Linked DNA regions of Arabidopsis thaliana. The protein of the gene in region 1 interacts with the protein of each later gene in a biochemical or structural test. Each region holds a gene or a part of one and is shown in the gene's direction. Other genes may lie near its edges.

What was found.
Region 2: the proteins of MYA2 (region 1) and DCP1 form a complex in vitro, tested with the Arabidopsis thaliana proteins (one study listed by BioGRID).
Region 3: the proteins of MYA2 (region 1) and ATFP8 form a complex in vitro, tested with the Arabidopsis thaliana proteins (one study listed by BioGRID).
Region 4: the proteins of MYA2 (region 1) and RABC2A form a complex in vitro, tested with the Arabidopsis thaliana proteins (one study listed by BioGRID).

The regions. Positions count from the first base shown.
Region 1 is NC_003076.8:17,664,436-17,669,322, reverse strand, and holds the start of MYA2 (myosin 2), read left to right. Parts: upstream 1-1,871; 5' UTR 1,872-1,909; coding exon 1,910-1,996; exon of another isoform or gene 1,997-2,013; intron 2,014-2,359; exon of another isoform or gene 2,360-2,370; coding exon 2,371-2,427; exon of another isoform or gene 2,428-2,633; coding exon 2,634-2,672; intron 2,673-3,000; coding exon 3,001-3,129; intron 3,130-3,229; coding exon 3,230-3,373; intron 3,374-3,447; coding exon 3,448-3,593; intron 3,594-3,695; coding exon 3,696-3,852; intron 3,853-4,152; coding exon 4,153-4,211; intron 4,212-4,287; coding exon 4,288-4,447; intron 4,448-4,572; coding exon 4,573-4,722; intron 4,723-4,817; coding exon 4,818-4,887. Other genes in the region: AT5G43910 (pfkB-like carbohydrate kinase family protein), read left to right, coding at 77-227, 319-429, 811-937, 1,149-1,249, 1,336-1,462, 1,536-1,588, 1,700-1,786. UniProt on the Arabidopsis thaliana protein: Myosin heavy chain that is required for the cell cycle-regulated transport of various organelles and proteins for their segregation.
Region 2 is NC_003070.9:2,636,021-2,641,188, forward strand, and holds DCP1 (decapping 1), read left to right. Parts: upstream 1-2,016; 5' UTR 2,017-2,334; coding exon 2,335-2,493; intron 2,494-2,573; coding exon 2,574-2,614; intron 2,615-2,701; coding exon 2,702-2,751; intron 2,752-2,886; coding exon 2,887-3,031; intron 3,032-3,232; coding exon 3,233-3,289; intron 3,290-3,440; coding exon 3,441-3,555; intron 3,556-3,745; coding exon 3,746-4,225; intron 4,226-4,290; coding exon 4,291-4,347; 3' UTR 4,348-4,643; downstream 4,644-5,168. Other genes in the region: AT1G08360 (Ribosomal protein L1p/L10e family), read left to right, coding at 211-215, 628-847, 1,067-1,232, 1,415-1,674; PSAO (photosystem I subunit O), read right to left, coding at 4,984-5,168.
Region 3 is NC_003074.8:3,708,579-3,713,212, reverse strand, and holds ATFP8 (Ras-related small GTP-binding family protein), read left to right. Parts: upstream 1-1,595; 5' UTR 1,596-1,815; coding exon 1,816-1,829; intron 1,830-1,910; coding exon 1,911-1,983; intron 1,984-2,095; coding exon 2,096-2,143; intron 2,144-2,227; coding exon 2,228-2,275; intron 2,276-2,348; coding exon 2,349-2,420; intron 2,421-2,612; coding exon 2,613-2,768; intron 2,769-3,101; coding exon 3,102-3,205; intron 3,206-3,620; coding exon 3,621-3,723; 3' UTR 3,724-4,082; downstream 4,083-4,634. Other genes in the region: AT3G11740 (LURP-one-like protein (DUF567)), read right to left, coding at 71-301, 577-786; AT3G11720 (Polyketide cyclase/dehydrase and lipid transport superfamily protein), read left to right, coding at 4,492-4,532, 4,613-4,634. UniProt on the Arabidopsis thaliana protein: Protein transport. Regulator of membrane traffic from the Golgi apparatus towards the endoplasmic reticulum (ER).
Region 4 is NC_003076.8:884,992-889,257, reverse strand, and holds RABC2A (RAB GTPase homolog C2A), read left to right. Parts: upstream 1-1,557; 5' UTR 1,558-1,799; exon of another isoform or gene 1,800-2,164; 5' UTR 2,165-2,196; coding exon 2,197-2,332; intron 2,333-2,671; coding exon 2,672-2,740; intron 2,741-2,831; coding exon 2,832-2,897; intron 2,898-2,987; coding exon 2,988-3,109; intron 3,110-3,196; coding exon 3,197-3,325; intron 3,326-3,406; coding exon 3,407-3,517; 3' UTR 3,518-3,736; downstream 3,737-4,266. Other genes in the region: RAB8C (RAB GTPase homolog 8C), read right to left, coding at 4,100-4,183. UniProt on the Arabidopsis thaliana protein: Intracellular vesicle trafficking and protein transport.

The DNA.
Region 1 (4,887 bases):
TCTATGGTATAACAAATTTCTAGCAAATATTTAAGTTTCCATTTGTTTTGATACTATTCTTGTAACAAATTTGTAGGAATACTCGTACTTGTATTTACACTCCAGGATATCCTCCTTTGCTACCAGATGACCTTACTGAATCTCTACTTCTAGATGTTCTTGATGGAGTAAGAGTTCTATATGTAAATGGAAGGTCCCGTGAAGCCGAATTGCTTCTTGCGCAAAAGGTGAAATGAAAATGCTCTGTTTGGTGTGTTTTGCTTAGTTCTGTTTACGTATGTTACAGCTCTTTCTCACTCATCTATGGTTTTTATGCAGGCACATAGCAAGAATATACCAATCTTAATTAATGCAGAGAAAAAAAGGACAGGGCTAGATGAGCTCATTGACTTAGCTGATTATGCTATTTGTTCTACTAACTTCCCTCAGGTGAGAGTATTTCTAGGAATAGTTCTGTAATTCACGGATCAATTGGTTCATAGGTTGTGAAATACTAGAGAATCATAGTAAAGAGCATACCACTTTCTTAAAAAGCTCTTTGTTGATGATTAGTGAAATCAATTAGTATTAATTGTTGGTACCATAAATCTGAATATGTGGAATCTATAACTTATGGAGCTTAGGTGAATCTATGAGAACTTCTAATGAACTAGAAGGTTCATGTACTCTTTATTATTTACACCTGAAAAATCCGACAATGTTTTGGTTTTGTAACCAGTAACACATGATCTTGCATCAAAATTGTATCATAGCTTGTGTTTAGAATGACTAGAATCTTTAATGGTCGACTTATTTGATTGGGAAAAACAGGAATGGACAGGGGCACCCTCATCTCCCAGTGCACTTCTCTCTATGCTCATAAGATTACCAAAGCTAAAATTTGTGATCATGACTTTGGGGGAACACGGTTGTGTGATGCTTGAGAGATGTTCCAGTGGTGAGTTTTCCTTATTTACGATTGTCCAAAGGTCAGAGTTTTTGACTTAGGATCACTCATGTTCTCCATAAAGGAAGGCTTATGTATAAGGGGCTAATTTGTAACTAATGTTGTTGTTGGTCAATATATCATTCGAAATCTTTTTACATGCTAACATCACACCATGCCTTCTTCCATGTACATGCTAACTTCTAGTGTATCAACATTACAGAGGTTTCAGGGTCAGAAGAAGAGACAGACATAGATGAATTACACGAGTCTCTGAAACAAAGCACAGACTTTACAAGTGTCTTACCGGTCTGCAATTCATCGGTAAATAACGTTTTCAGATACATAATTTCCTCACAAGTTCTACATTTTGTTAATGAAAATATCTTCAATGCTCTTAACATTTTCAGCTAGTGACTAGACTGACAGGGAATGTTACAGGGAGATTGGTTATAGTAACAGCTGAGAAAATACCTTCATCGGAACTCATAGACACAACCGGTGCTGGAGATGCGTTTACCGGAGCTTTGCTTTATGGTATTACGCTTCACTAAATCGTAGTAAACCAAATGTATCTGAACAGAATCTGACCGACTCCAATTGTTTACAGGTTTGTGCACAGGCATGGCTTTAGAGGAAATGTTGACATTTGCATCTCGAGTCGTAAGTTTGCTTCTTCTTCTTTTGTTTATTCCAGCGCTATTTTCAAAACGCTAGGCGTTACGCGTTTGATCAGAATAGTGATTGAAGGAATTGCGTTTGAAATTTGTGTAGGCTGCTTGCTGCTGCAGAGGTTTAGGAGCTCGAACAAGTCTTCCATATCGTACTGATCCAAACCTTGCAACGTTCTTAGGGACATGACCGTAATTTTCTTTGTTTTCTTGACGTATAAAATCTCAAAGTCTTCTTGACGTATAAAATCTCAAAGTCTTCTTGACGTATAAATACGTCTGTATTTATTTCGTATGAAAGTGAAATAAAATAATGTTCCTAGATGCAGCCAAGTCAGATTCTCGTTTCAGCGTTTGTGTGTGTGACACCGTCTTACTTTACGTGTACCATGTGAACAAAGTTCTAATGAAAAAGTATCACAATATGATAAATTAATAGATGTCTTTTTGTTGAATTCGGTGTATTAGTTATATTAATATCTTAATTATACACCATGAAGAATTAGACAATGAATTAAAGAGATAGATAATGTGTTTTAAATTCTCCCACATGCACATGTAATAATAATTCTGGTGACATCAAGAACAAAATTTAGAAGAATTTTTTTTTAGTCTCATACGTTTTTGAGACAAGTATATATTTCGCGAACGGACATAATTGTTTTAGCGTGTCCGAAAGTTAGCTCCGTGATTATACAAAATCAAGGGGTAGTTTGGGAATAAGATGTCTTAATCAATGTTTTAATTGCAAATTGATGCTGTTAAGCTATTCAGACCAAATCCCCACAGAAAGTGGAAGAGAGCAGGGAGGCACGAAAAGGGAAAAACAAAGTAAGCAAAAAAAAAAAAAAAAAAAAGAGAAACGAAAATAATAATACTCAAAAAATATTCGGGGGGAAATTTTTCCCAGAAACGCGTTTAGATTTGCAAAGTTCGTCTTCTCCAATCTACAGTTCTACACCAAATCTCAGTTTATTCGCTTTGAGGACCTTTTTTTGTAGATTTAGAAGCTCAGTGCTCGTTTTGATTTAATCTAGATCCAGAAAGCTGAAGTCTTTGATCTACGAAACGAAATGGTAAGATTCGTTTAATTTTGGGGGAAATTAGTTTAATTTAGCGATTTTTAAGGGCATCTAATATCGGATCATGGCTTTGTGCTTGACTTTTGAGTCTTCTTCTGTATGATTATAGAGATTTGACTGCAACTACGACTTGTCTGTTTTGGAGTTTGACGTTTGGTCTAATTCTAGTATGATTGGAAATCAAATTTCATGTGATTGAGGTTATTATAGTCTGAAATCAAAAGCAATCAAAAATGTAGTTTTTTAAAGAGTTGTGATTACCATAAGGAAGCTTGTGAGAGCTCAAGAAGCATTCTTTTAGTGACACACTTTTGCTCTACAGGTTGCTAACTTCAATCCATCAGTGGGGTCATTTGTGTGGGTGGAGGATCCTGATGAAGCATGGATTGATGGTGAAGTTGTACAAGTTAATGGTGATGAGATCAAAGTTCTATGCACTTCAGGAAAACATGTATGTGTGTGTGTGTGTTTGCTTCTCATCTAAATTAGAATCACAAGAAGACTTTTGAGAGAAAGCAGTTATTGATTTTTGCTATTTTTGGAAAATTCAGGTTGTTACGAAAATCTCTAATGCTTATCCTAAAGATGTGGAAGCACCAGCCTCTGGAGTGGATGATATGACTAGACTTGCTTATTTGCATGAACCTGGAGTTCTACAGAATTTGCATTCAAGATATGATATTAACGAGATTTATGTGAGTAATTCATATCGATGTCGAATATATATGTACTATGAAATATGTGTGGACTAAATTTTATTTACTTTCAGACTTATACAGGAAGTATACTTATTGCTGTTAATCCGTTTAGAAGACTTCCTCATCTTTATAGTAGCCATATGATGGCTCAATATAAAGGAGCTTCCTTAGGAGAATTGAGTCCACATCCATTCGCCGTCGCAGATGCTGCGTATAGGTAATTTATACACACTAGTGATATATATTACCTTTATTTTTTTGTTGCTGTTGTTGATCCTTATATGTAAACTTGCCTGCTTTCGTGTTCGTTCTAATGCAGACAGATGATTAATGATGGAGTAAGTCAATCTATTCTGGTTAGTGGAGAAAGTGGTGCTGGTAAAACTGAAAGCACAAAGTTGCTTATGAGATATCTTGCTTACATGGGAGGGAGAGCTGCTGCTGAGGGAAGAAGTGTTGAACAGAAAGTGTTGGAGGTGAAAAAAAAACATCATATTTAGTCAAATCAAGTTTTTAGATAATTGAACAAATATCTAAAACTTCAGACTTCAGAGGATGGTCGAATATTCATTTCGGCTGTGTTTACTTTTCAAGAGCAACTGTAGAGTGAACAAATAACTTAAACTTCAGAAAATCAATGCTAGTAGTCATTTACATTAAGGCAAACTGAATAGTCAGCAGCTATTTGCTCACTTCCATATGCATATGATGTTGATTTTCCCTTTTCTTGCTTTGATATGGTTCTTATAAGCTTCTTCATTGTGTCTTTTATTCAGTCGAATCCTGTTTTAGAAGCATTTGGAAATGCAAAGACTGTCAGGAACAATAATTCCAGGTAACCTTTTTTTGAAAAAGCTTTTCAATATCACCACTTTGGGTGTTTCTGAACTGTTTATTTGTGTACTTTATAGTCGCTTTGGTAAGTTCGTGGAGATTCAGTTTGACGAAAAGGGAAGAATATCAGGAGCTGCCATAAGAACTTATTTGTTGGAAAGATCACGAGTTTGTCAAGTCTCTGATCCTGAAAGAAACTATCACTGTTTCTACATGCTTTGTGCTGCTCCACAAGAAGTAAGTTTTGTAGTTCACTTCGGAGTAGTAACACCGAATAACTTACCATACATGTCCAGTATCTGAGCCTCGTTTGGCATACAAACTCACATCTTGTTATCTGAAATGTTTTTTTGTACTATCAGGATGTGAAGAAATTCAAGCTGGAGGAACCAAAGAAATATCACTATCTCAATCAGTCTAAATGTCTAGAGCTGGATAGTATAAATGATGCGGAGGAATATCATGCCACAAGACGGGCAATGGATGTCGTCGGGATCAGTACGGAGGAGCAGGTAGTTATCACAGAACTCCATCAGTCAGATTTTAGCCAAAGCTGCAATATTGCCACTGTAAACGGATTCTATGCTTTGCTGATATCTTGTTTCAGGATGCTATTTTCAGCGTCGTGGCAGCCATTCTCCATATCGGGAATATCGAATTTGCTAAGGGGGAAGAGA
Region 2 (5,168 bases), on another chromosome or scaffold:
TTTAGGGTTTCTTCTGTCTGTCTCGTCACTCAGGTTTGTGCCTCAACGACTGCTTCACTTCTAGCTTGATTCTTCTTCTTCGTTTATATGTATACTGTACATTAGATTATTCTTGTTTCTCGAGCTTCTGCTATAGATTTTGATTCTTTTTTTTGTTGTCTTTGTTTCGTTTCCAGGATCAGATCTTAGCTAAATTGAGACAAGCTCAAAATGAGGTACTTGACGCATCTCTTACATTCACTGTTTAATTAGAGAACAATACGTCTCTGAATCGTGATTCAGAGACGTATTGTTCTTCTGTCATATGCAATAAGTTTAATTAGAGAACAATACGTCTCTGAATCGTGATTGTTTTTTGGATGTGCGTTATTGATAGCTTTATGATGTTAATAGTCTAGGATTGACACGAAGTTGTTCTGCAGTTTTGCATAAATGCTCTTTACTAAGGCCTCTAAATTTGGATGACAAATCTAAATCTTGCCTCATAAAAATTTAGGTGTATTAAGATAAGATTATTTTGTATGGTAGTGTCTATAATGTGGGTTGTTCATGTTGAGGTTGTCAATGTTGTGTATTTTTGTTTGTTTAGTTAATTTGCTTAACTCTGTTCTTTGTGGGTTAATACAGTAAGCTTCAGAGTGAGGCCGTTCGTGAAGCCATCACTACTATCACAGGGAAATCCGAGGCAAAGAAACGTAACTTTGTCGAGACTATTGAGCTCCAGATCGGTCTGAAGAACTATGACCCTCAAAAGGACAAGCGTTTCAGTGGATCTGTCAAGTTACCACATATCCCCCGTCCTAAAATGAAGATCTGCATGCTCGGAGATGCCCAGCATGTTGAAGAGGTGATATATCTTTTCATGGAAATTGATCATTTTGTGCTCTGTTTCTTGTATAATGGTTTTGTGCTCATTTCATTTGGTGGCTCTATTAGTTTCATTTGATGTTGTATATGTCTTCTGAATGTAGATGCATGATGTTTTCGGAATTTGGTCATTGTTTATTTAGGCTTCATTTCTTGCATAATTAAATATTTGCTTATTTCATCTTGTATCTTTTCGTAGGCTGAGAAGATGGGGTTGGAAAACATGGATGTTGAGTCTCTAAAAAAGCTTAACAAGAACAAGAAACTCGTCAAGAAGCTTGCAAAGAAATACCATGCTTTCTTGGCCTCTGAGTCTGTCATTAAGCAGATTCCTCGTCTTCTTGGTCCTGGTCTTAACAAGGCAGGCAAGTTCTGGCTACAGCTAATATTCCATTGTTCTTCTTTACATCCGTTTTGATTTTGGATAGGTTTTAGTAGTCTATTTCTTTTGTCAATGTCTTTTTGATACAATGCCAATCCTTTATCCTGTGAGATTATGCTTCTTTGATGATTCTTAAGTAACATTCCTTTGCTTTACTTTACACAGGAAAATTCCCAACTCTTGTGAGCCACCAGGAATCCTTGGAGTCAAAGGTGAATGAAACAAAGGCAACAGTGAAGTTCCAGCTGAAGAAGGTTCTGTGCATGGGAGTTGCAGTTGGTAACCTTTCAATGGAAGAGAAGCAGATCTTTCAGAATGTGCAGATGAGCGTCAACTTCCTCGTCTCGCTATTGAAGAAGAACTGGCAAAATGTCAGGTGTTTGTACCTCAAGAGCACAATGGGACCACCACAAAGAATCTTCTGAGCTTTCACCTACTTAAAATTGGTGGCTATAAGACACTTCTTCTTACCCTTTCGTTTTTGTTTCAGACATATCTGTTAAACAGTGTAAGAGTTGTGCTGCTACTCTCCTCTTTAGCTTTTGGTTTGGATAATTTGAAATAACTGCAGTGATTTTGGTTAATGGATTTTGTAGCTTATATTATCTTTGAATTAGATGTGCTTATTTCAAAGACGAATCAATCCACAGATGTGAATAAAAACAGAAATTTTCGTTTTCAATTTGAAAATTGTCCTCGTGGACTGTTCCATAACCAAATTCTATTGACTATGCAGTAATTGATCTTTGAATTAAAAGGATCAACCCACTGATTATACTCCAATTGAATAAATATTCTTCTTTAATGTTGTTTATAATCTCTTAAGCAAGCTCTAATGATGTATTTTTGAAGCAAACTCTAATGCTTTTATGGTCAGTATATTTATTCTCTTAAGTTTTATAACTAAATTACCATTTTTTTTTGCCAAAGCAGACAACAAAATAGCGAAGTGCGTTCCAAAAGTTAGCGTTTTCGTCTCCGTCCCCAAATCTCTCAGCTACCTTAAATCAGAATTCTAGGGTTCTTCCGATTAGGGTAAAATCGAATCCAGATTTCCCAAAATTCTGATCTTTGATTTATAAAAGATGTCTCAAAACGGGAAGATAATCCCAAATCTGGACCAAAACAGTACGAGGCTCCTCAATCTCACAGTTCTCCAGCGGATCGATCCATACATCGAGGAAATCCTCATCACAGCCGCTCATGTCACTTTCTATGAATTCAACATTGAGCTCAGCCAATGGGTTAGTCTCAATCAATCTTCGATTACATAATTTGATGTTTGCTTCCCTACCTAATGATTGATCTGTCTTTTGTCATTCAGAGTCGTAAGGACGTTGAAGGATCTTTGTTTGTTGTCAAAAGGTTACTACTTTCGATCTTTAACTATGTGTATCTTATCTTTAATCGTCTTCTCAAATCTGATTGGATCCTTTTTTTTGTTTCTTTCAGAAGTACACAACCTCGATTTCAGTTTATTGTGATGAATCGTCGTAATACAGGTCAGGATTTATTCAAATAAAGTTGGTGTGTGTCATGTGTCTAGAAAAGGTTTAGATTTAGTAATATATTGCAAGTTCTTATTTAAGGATTCAGTATTAGTAATCATCAGTGTGTTGCTGTATTTGTCTGGATAGATAATCTGGTGGAGAATCTCCTGGGAGATTTTGAGTATGAAGTACAAGGTCCATATTTACTTTACCGTAATGCATCTCAAGAAGTAAATGGCATTTGGTTCTACAATAAACGTGAATGCGAGGAGGTAGCAACTCTTTTCAACAGGTATGTATATATAAGTCACTGCATATCAGGTAGAAACTGTTGGTTTCAATTGTTGGATCATGAATAATATCAATATCGTCTTTTATTTGCCTATTATCAGACAGTTACTTGTTGGCAAATATAATGTTCTTGTATATTTGTATGAACTTGAAATTACTCTTACTCGTTGTATCTCTGCCTAATGGTTCCTTGGCATGACAGAATACTCAGTGCATATTCCAAGGTTAACCAGAAGCCAAAGGCCTCATCTTCAAAGAGGTAATATTTTCATGATTAGATTTAGTTAGTACACCATTAGTTGTTTCTTGGATGTGTTTTCTTTGAGGTGGAAACTTGATAATCTAAATCATTTTTCCCGCTGTTATATCTCTTACTTGTTAAATTAAGTTAGATTTTCTATGTACTGCAGTGAGTTTGAGGAATTGGAAGCTAAGCCTACAATGGCAGTTATGGATGGTCCTCTTGAACCATCATCAACTGCTAGGGATGCCCCTGATGATCCTGCTTTTGTCAACTTCTTTAGCGTAAGTTTCTAAAGCTTCTGTTACACACTCACACTATCATCTTCACCATGACAGCATCTTATACGACTAATGGCAGGAGGGCTTTCTATTAGTTCTAGCCTTCTAGGTTCTTGAATTATCTTCAGCGTAGTATATGGTCCAACTTAGACTCCTCAAATTGTAACACTGAATTTATCTAAATTGTTGACAGTCAACGATGAATCTTGGGAACACTGCGAGTGGGTCAGCAAGTGGACCTTACCAATCATCAGCGATTCCTCACCAACCTCACCAGCCTCACCAACCCACCATTGCTCCTCCTGTAGCGGCAGCAGCACCTCCACAGATACAATCACCACCGCCTCTACAATCCTCCTCTCCTCTGATGACTCTCTTTGACAACAACCCTGAAGTTATCAGCAGCAACTCCAACATTCACACAGATTTGGTGACGCCGTCTTTCTTTGGCCCCCCACGAATGATGGCACAGCCACACCTCATTCCTGGTGTATCTATGCCCACTGCTCCTCCTCTCAATCCTAATAATGCGAGTCACCAGCAGCGGTCATATGGTACTCCGGTGCTCCAGCCTTTCCCACCCCCAACTCCACCACCATCACTCGCTCCTGCACCCACTGGTCCGGTTATCAGCAGAGACAAAGTGAAGGAAGCCCTTTTATCCCTGTTGCAGGTTCGTCCTTTACCACATCACTTTATTTGAGCTGCTGTGCAAACCTAACGAGTTGCTTTTGACAGGAGGATGAATTCATTGACAAGATTACCCGAACTTTACAAAATGCACTTCAACAATGAAGCTGCGCTGGTCAGCATCTACGTGTGGGATAGTGGCTGTTTGATCTAGAATGTGTAGTTAAAATGTAGTTTTGTTCCCTCTGAAAGTGTTGTTGGAACCTTATAAGATACTGCACTGCCCCCTTTGTTTAACTCTTGGAATTACTTTTTCATTTTATCTACTTTCAAGTTTTTACCTTTCCTCATCAATTTTTGTTTCGTAGTCGAAAGACATGTTAAAGACTTTAGATTCACAAATCTTCATGCATGTTTAGAGTTTATTGGAACATATACACATCAAGATTAATACAAAAAACATGAAAGAGTAAGAAGAAAGAGAGATAATTTTTCTATTTTTTAAAAGATTCGAGATTGCAAGACAAAAACTGTTTGTATGGTTCAAGTCAAAGACGTATTGTGATGTTTCGTTTTGAAGTATTATCCCAATCTTTTGTGAGCTTTCCCTCGAGAAACGCTTTTAACATTTAATACTTTAGTTAGACTGACAGACATTCTTAAAATCAAGATCATATAAGAAAGACTTGTCGAGATATAGAATGAAACATCAAATAGCAAAGAAAGCTTTGTTTTGATTGATAATATTACACATAACCAAGAGAGAGCATATAGTACAAACGAAAACAAGAATAGTTATCCTTAGAAGTAATCTTCAGTCCTGCCCTTGAATCCGATTTGTCCGAAAGTGAGGCAGAGGAAGAGGCCTAAGTGCCACGTAACCAACCACAACCAGAACTGTGAAGTGAGAGCTGGAGGAGTCGGGAAGTGAGCGAGCTCAGTTCCGATGCTATCGAAGAAGAGACCCGTCAGGCTCTTCCCATTTA
Region 3 (4,634 bases), on another chromosome or scaffold:
AATTAACACGATCATATAACTAGCTAGTCCGGTTTATACAATTTACAGACAATTTGATCAGTGTAATTACCTGAGCAACAATGGCATCAGATTTGCCGGCGTAGACGACACAAGACCGGTCGATCCAACTTCCTTTAACATGGAAGTCGCAAATCTTCATTTCTTTATTATGAGCCAAAAAGATGTCTAGTTTTGGCTTCATTATTTGAATCATTGAAGATCGTTTCAATGTGTATAATAGATCACTTTGGTCTGTACTCTTCCCTCTATATACTAGCCACCTATCATGCAAGCTCACCTTCTACAATTTTTATGTTATAAGAAAAAAAAGTTGTGGATCAGATTTTATTGGATGATCTATGACGATTTAACATACTCGAATGAGTGATGATGATTTTGATATTATTTACAATTAGTTGATAGACGTATTGAAAAAGTGTACCTCCATGCAAGTTATAAGAGCATGTTTGTGTATATATGATTTGCATAATGAAATTTTTTTTTTGTATCACCATGAAAAAATTGTGCCTCTCCATGCAAGTTATAAAGAATTGTAGTTGATAGACGTATACTTACATTTTCTCTCAAAGTCAAGATTGGAGTATCGTATGCGTCCAATAAAATCCTTTTGTCGCTGATGCTAAACAAAGGTTCCTTGACTTTGAAAAGGAGATTGCCGTTAACGTCCGTGACGGCGAAGTTACCATCGGTTAAAGTCATCACCTTCCGTACGATTCCCAACTCGATAGGGTACGGTGCACAGAAATTAGGGCTAACGATCGCCATCTTTTTGAAGATCTCTCTCTGTTTTTTTTTTCTCTTTTACGATTCTTGTATAAGGTGGAGATTTGTGTTCGTTTCTCAATCTTTTTAGTTATTTATAATTAGGATATTCCAAGTATTGTGTGAAACAAATCTTCGTGTTTTTAATTTTGTGTTTTTGGCTATATATGTTTTGTTTATTTTTAGAACTTATCTTATTTTAAATCTGCTAGCCAAGTTGCAAGCTGCAAACACGTTAGCGTTACTACACTTTTTTTTTTTGGTTATATAAAAAAAAATAGTTTGATGGAAAAAAAATATTATAAATTGAGGAAATATCTTCTTTTTTGCCAGAAAAGGAAATTAGAAGAAACGTAAAATTAGAAGGTAACTTTTGGTAGGATTAATATGACTTAATTAAAAATGATATGAATGGAGTATGAAAAAGAGAATGATTTTGTTGATAAAATATACTGTCATATAAAATTGGAAAATCCATGCATATTCAATCAAAGTTTTTCTTTTCTTTTTCAATATACCTTTTTAATCCGCTTTAAATACTTCATTATATTTAATTCCTCACATCTTGATCACGGATTATAAATCAAATTTATGTAAAATTATCTTCTCTAAAAAAATAAAAATAAAAATTGAGACATATACATGAGTAATAAAATCCAAACCTTTAATAACAGGGCCAGGACGTTAACGACGGTTAAGTTAGATAGACAAGATTTTGAGCTCGGCCCATTTATCAAAAAGCCCAAATAAGAAGACACACACACGTAAAGAAATCAGTGAGACAAGGTCAAAGCTTCTTTATTGTCTCGGGAAAAACAACAAGGAATTAAACAAATATTAAAAAAACTGGGAACAAAAAAATCCAGTAGAAGTCGTGGGGTTCAATGTTCATGTAAATTGATTGACACGCCCCCTAAACCCAAACCTCTCTTTTTTTTTGTTTCTTATATTATAGAGAAAAAGAGCTTTTTCCCGGAAAGTTGTTCTCATCTTGGAAAATCAAATCTCGGAAACGCAGTCTTCAGCTAAATCATGAGCAACGAGTAGTAAGTGTTTCTCTCCTCCTTGAGAGCCATTCTTTCGTTTTCGATTTTACTCACACCGATTTCGATTTTTTGTTGTTGTAGCGATTATCTGTTCAAGCTTTTGTTGATCGGTGACTCCTCTGTTGGAAAATCGTGTCTTCTTCTCCGATTCGCTGTGAGTTTGACTTGATTTTGATTCTTAATTGATTCCGTCGTCGAGAATTAGCTCGTGTTAGGTTTCTTCTTTTGTACTGTTTCGTGATTTTGGGATTTGTTGCTATTTCTAGGATGATGCTTACATTGACAGCTACATAAGCACCATTGGTGTTGACTTCGTAAGTTCATTCTTTGACCTTGTTTACATACATGATCGAGATTGTTTTATCCCAAACTTACTTATAATGTGGTTGGTTTTGCAGAAAATTAGGACGATTGAGCAGGATGGGAAGACGATTAAGCTGCAAATTGTGAGTTTTCAATTATATAATATGTTTTGGATGATTGTGTTTACTCAATTTTACTGTTGCTGCTCTCTTTTAGTGGGATACTGCTGGACAGGAGCGTTTCAGGACCATCACTAGCAGCTATTACAGAGGAGCTCATGGAATCATTGTGAGCAATCTTTATATTCGCTTTCTTACTTGCTTTTTTTTGGCTTACCTAGACTAGTGTTATGTCCCTATTTCCATTTCTCATTTTAAGTGGTTTAGTCTGAGATTGGTATTGTAATGTTGGAATATGAATCATTTTAATGTTGTAATCCACCCTTTAAGTGATGAACCTTAATGATGATAATTGCAACAGATTGTTTATGACTGTACTGAGATGGAAAGCTTCAACAATGTGAAGCAGTGGTTGAGTGAGATCGATAGATATGCCAATGAGAGTGTTTGCAAGCTTTTAATCGGTAACAAGAATGATATGGTTGAAAGCAAAGTTGTTTCCACCGAAACTGGAAGGGTAAGCTCACATCCCTAGTTAAGTTCCCAGCAATTTTTCCATTTATGATTTTGCTTCTATCTTATGCATAACATCCTTTGCATGGTACTTTCCCCTTTCCTCATTTGATCATTTCATGGTTTCGCATATCTTTAACCATGTGATGATATTACAACCATTGAGATTGTTATACCAGAATTTACGGCTATGAATGTAGATGATCTCTGACCAAATTCCCAAAGCTAGATGATCTGAATCCACCGAGTAGAAATTGCTTATTTTTGCAGCAGCTGTTACTCCTGATACAACTGTGAATTGGTTTTCTTACATTTCATCTACTCAAAATCACTGCAGGCCTTAGCAGATGAGCTTGGAATTCCCTTTCTTGAGACCAGTGCCAAGGATTCTATTAACGTTGAACAGGCATTCTTAACTATTGCTGGCGAGATAAAAAAGAAGTATGTTCACTATCTTTAATCTTTCGCCATAATTTTTTCTGCGAAGATTTAACATAGATTAGGTTTAGTAAACTTGTTCTATTACTATATTCCTTGATCACCATTATATACATCAAATCATTCTCTGTGTTTTTTTCTGCTGCAAAGCATCTTGATTCTCCACTGTTTTCATGAAATAAACTATTCATGTAAAGTTTCAAATCCGAAGTGTGCTATTCTAGACTTGATGACTAATGGAAAGCAAATCAACAAACTAACTGCTGTATCCTTGTAGCTTCCTCAAGCTTGTGTACTTAACTTCTGTTGATAGATTTTCCATATGGTTGATATCTTGTATCGACATTTGCTGATTCAGTCTAGTTTATGTAACATGGAGAATTGAGTCTAATCATATCGTAACTCATTTTCTTTGCAGAATGGGAAGCCAAACGAATGCAAACAAGACATCTGGTCCTGGAACTGTCCAAATGAAAGGTCAGCCAATCCAACAGAACAATGGCGGTTGCTGCGGTCAGTAGTTTAAAAAATGTTTTAATCAAAACTATCTGAGACTCTTTTTTTACTTCCTTTTTAACTAAGTGTTGTGAAAACCAATGGCTGTTTAAAACAACTAAGAAATGTAATATTCCATGTCGCTGTGTCTTGAATAAGCTATGGTGTTAGTTGCAAGATACTTCTCTTTAATATAGTTCAGTCTTGACTTTGACCACACAGGGATATGCAAGCAACTCATGGTTTTGAATTTTGATTGTGTATATATATTAAAAATAGTGATAGATATTCGTTGCTGTATAGGCTGGACCATGTTCATTACCATAGATATTTAAAACTTGCAGCTAAGTCCATAGAATGAGGAAAAGCAAAAACAACATATGAGAGATAAATCTCAATAATGTAAATGCTGAATTATATATACTTCAAAGATACGAGTCCAAATCAAATTCTTCCATTTTCTTACGCTAAAGTATACGGATTTCCAAAAGAAGATTTGTTCTATTTCGTTTACAACGCAATTCTAGTTTATAATAACTCATCATATACTCATGTGGTTTCAAAATACCCCAAATGCATGTTTTTCTAGAAACAATCAGTTTTCTGATTTTGATGAAATCAATCATACCTAGATTCATTCATTTACTCCCACAATTTTAGAAGAAAATCTCATTCCTGCACATCCTTATTTAAAAAATAAAATAAATCAAAAGTGATCTTATTTGTTTGTGTTTAAGTTTTATAAATTCATTTTTTTTTGTTTGAATGATAAAAAGACAGACAGGAAAGATCTCATGACAACGACAGTTAACCGACCTGGTCCCTCTAAAATAAAGTCTGACACAGACTCTCAAACTTTGTCAAATCCAATTCTTATTATTATTGGTAATGAGACTTTTTCTTCACATTCTCCAGATATGTATATTCCCGAGAAAAT
Region 4 (4,266 bases), about 17 Mb from region 1:
TAAAATTAAAGAAATAAGTACACTTCAATAAAAATTTGTCTTTCCATCAACCAGTAATGTAATTTTTCAATTTATTATAGTCAGATATGCTAACCATAATGTAATCCTCTCATAATTTTTCTTTACAAACTCGAAGTTTTTGGTGTTATATCGTTCGTTAAATGTCGACAACATTTATAAGCATTGAGCAGTGTTGACATATCATGGCCCACAAAATAAAAGGCTATTGTCCAAATACGAAATAGCCCATTAAATACGGCTACAAATTTGTTTTTACACAAAAGTCACAGTACTGTAGATCTATCTCTAAGAATATTATCCATTAACGACCAAATTTGTCTCAGAAAATAAATGGCTCAACAACAAACTAAATATCAACATTTTCTCAAGAGACATATTATAACTAAAAAGAAATGAACAAAACACTTGACATTAGTGTGTTGAAAACTAAAAAAAAAAGAAGAAGAAGAAGACTTATGAGGATTGTTAGACGAAGATGTAGCCTCTAGAGGATCTTTATTTTGTACTCAACTTGGCACCTTGGTGTGTCAATTTCGACACAACAGTTCTATCCTCCAATAAATTGAAATCACACCGAACATTCACACACACAAACATACACACACTTTATTCTCAATTTATTACGATGGTTTAAATGTTTACTAGAGAGCAGAAAAATATTTTAAATTCAAAAAGAGAAGAACAATAAAAAAAGGTTAGGCGAGCAAAAGGAAGATGATATTCCTAAGATACCTTTTCTTTTCATGGCTTTTCCGTCACTCATTCTGTTCCCAAAACCATGGACAACATTCTCATATTTTTGGATATTTAGAGAGAAAATTAGTTCCATATTTATTCATCTGCCGTTGATAACTTTTAGTTTATAGAAACATAAACCTTCTTGAAATATGTTTTACCATAAGAGGCATATTAAATAAATAAATAAAAAAAAATGACGACAAAAAAAAAAATCATACTGTATATAAAAAAAGAAAGTGTTTTGTGAGAAAAGAAGAGAAAATCAAAGTGCTTTGACTCTTAGTGACGTCTTAATCGGAGCGTGGAAAGCACGTTCTCAGAATGCGCGCGTAAACTTTTGCACAGGCCAGGGGTGGGGTTTCGCAGGGGCTTGGCTGACAGCAGACGAAGGCCAAACATGGCTCCCATAATTCATTTAACCATCACTGTTCGCCGACTCTTCTAGAAAAAAAAAAAAGTAGTTTTCAACCTTCTTACAAAATAATTAGTTCCATTGGTGACTAAAATTTAGTCATTGTAAGTTTTTTTTTTCCTTATTTCAATTTATATTGTAGAGAATACAATATAGCCTAAAGCAATGAGAAATGATGTTAATGACTAAAAAAATATGTATAGTAAGCTAGTGACATATCATAAATTGTTTTATAGATATAAAAAACAAAATTCATGAAAGTATAGACACATTAAAATTTAAAAATAATAATGAATTCCAACCACTTTTTCTAAGCGGTTCAATGAATCGTCTAATTTTTTAGACTGTTTAAATTAGTCTGTCCAAAAATAATGCTCATTCCCTTTTTACAATCGCTAATTTAAAACGCTTTAACAAACTAACTGACAAAATCAAATCGTTTCAATTGGTAGCCCACGAAAACGGTTAGTCTCCAACCGCAGTGGTTAATAGATATGGCAACCGCAGCCGCGATTCCAAAACGCTACACACACACGTCGACAAAAGAACCTGGAAACCAAAACAGAGACGTTTGAGTGAAGCAAAGTGTCGGAGAGAAGAAAGCAAAGAACAAACGTTACTATCTCAGGTCTGTGTCTTGTCTTCTTCTTCAAAAGAAAAAAAAAAAAAAAACTCTCATTTTACCAGTTCTCCTCTCTTTCTCCGTAAAGAATAAATCTTCCAGTTTCTTCATCACATTTCTTTTCCTTATTTTAATCAAAACATTTGTTTGCATCATTCACAGGCAAATAAAAATTCTCCCTTTTTCTTAGATTGCTACTACTTATAAAGTAGAGAGTGCAGATAGATGTAATTATCAAACGAGGAAGCATCATTATCATTATCATTATCATCATTACTGCTTCATAGATTCATATTATTGTTTATCTAAAAGTTTGCTTTTGTAGTAGTTGGTGGTTAAGTAGGATTTGATTTGATCTTCTAGAATTACAGATCGAGAAACAGCAAATCTGAGGTTTTAGAAAATGGGATCTTCTTCTGGGCAAAGTGGATACGATCTGTCTTTTAAGATCTTGTTGATTGGTGATTCTGGTGTTGGTAAAAGCAGTTTGCTTGTCAGCTTCATTTCTAGCTCCGTTGAAGATCTTGCTCCTACTATTGGTAAAATAGTTTTCTTCAACTTGTTTCCTCTATGATTTTTGAAAAAGGGTCTCAGATTTATGTCTTAAGAGCTCTGAAATTGATATGAAGCTAAGTCATGTCTTTGGTGCTTTAGTTGTTGATCAAATAGTAGTATTCTATAAATGGAAGAGCTTGAATGATGAACATCTGTCTTTGATCGAATTGCCACTGAAACAATATTGACTTTTTTGGTTAGACCCAGTTAGATACTTTCTGTCTGATAATCTAGCAGTCTGGTCTTGGTTTGGTTTAAGGAAGTCTGTTTTGTCGGATCTTATTGGCATTATATTGTTGGTTTAACATAAGTATTACTCATAGGTGTTGATTTCAAGATCAAACAATTGACAGTAGGAGGCAAAAGGCTAAAACTCACAATCTGGGACACAGGTGAATGATTCTATATTTTGAGATTATTATAGAAGTTTTATTGTAAATAAAACTAATGGTTCTGATAATATTCTCGGTTTTCTCATTGTAGCTGGACAGGAACGGTTTAGAACACTGACAAGCTCTTACTACAGAGGCGCCCAAGGAATCATTCTCGGTAACGTCCATCATCAATCAATCAATCAAAGGAGACTAAGAGATCTCTCTGTCTGTAAACTGTTTAGTTAATGTTTCTTGGTGAATGCAGTTTATGATGTGACGAGAAGGGAGACATTTACAAACTTAGTAGATGTGTGGGGTAAGGAGATTGAGCTTTACTCCACAAACCAAGAATGTGTAAGGATGCTCGTTGGGAACAAAGTCGATAGAGTGAGTTGCAATCGAAATCGCACTACTTGTTCTCAAAACACGGTTTGGTCATTTTGGTAGTTGACTGGATAAAACATATGATTACAGGAATCTGAGAGAGGAGTAAGCAGAGAAGAAGGGATTGCTCTAGCAAAAGAACTCAACTGCATGTTTCTTGAGTGTAGTGCTAGAACTCGACAAAACGTGGAACAGTGTTTCGAAGAGTTGGCTTTGAAGGTAAAGATCCTTAAATCTGTTTAAAAAAACGATTCGAAAAGAGAGATTCATATATAACATAGAGTGAATGTGATGAAACAGATAATGGAGGTACCTAGTCTCTTGGAAGAAGGATCAAGTGCTGTGAAGAGAAACATCTTGAAGCAGAAACCAGAACACCAGACTAATACTCAATCCGGCTGTTGCAGCTAGTGACCCTAGTCGATGTTGCATATAAAATACTCGAATCTTTATCTTGTGTATTGCAAACTGAACCTGATTCTTCTCTCTGTGGTTGCCTCTTTTGTGTGTAGAACATAATGTAGCTTCAATGTAAATTTGTGGGATTACTTGTATTCTTCTTTTGCTTCTGAAATGAGATTTGTGATAATAACATCATATAATAGAATAAACCCCATCAAGTGTTTTCTTAAATCCGTGTTTATTTTGGCTCAAACTATGGTTCTAGTAGAGAACAGCATTCACAGTGAATAAGATAAATCCTGATTTGAACAGTGAAGTCAGAGGTATACACACTACAACAGTTTCATTTTTATAAATTCAAAGTCTTTTTCACATAGTTTTTTGACCAACATAGTCTTCCATATCAGGAAGATCATTGTACAGGAATTATGGAGATAACAAATTAGACATAAAGATCACAACCATCAATGAGATTTCCTACTCGTTCTAGGTAACAACATGAGAATTATCTCTGATTTGAGACGTAAGAGATGAAAAAGATGGCCAGATATTTAAAAAACCCGGTGCAGGCGAAAAAGAGCAATCATACTCCTAAACGTAACTACAGCAAGCTGACTTCTCGGCTGTAGAAGACGATGCGGCAGTATCTTGTTTAGTGATCTTGATGCCTTGGGGCTGCAAAGTAACAAGAACAGTACATATGTTTATTACTCAGCTAAAATGTCGGTATAAGAATATGAAGATCGAGTATTAATGGT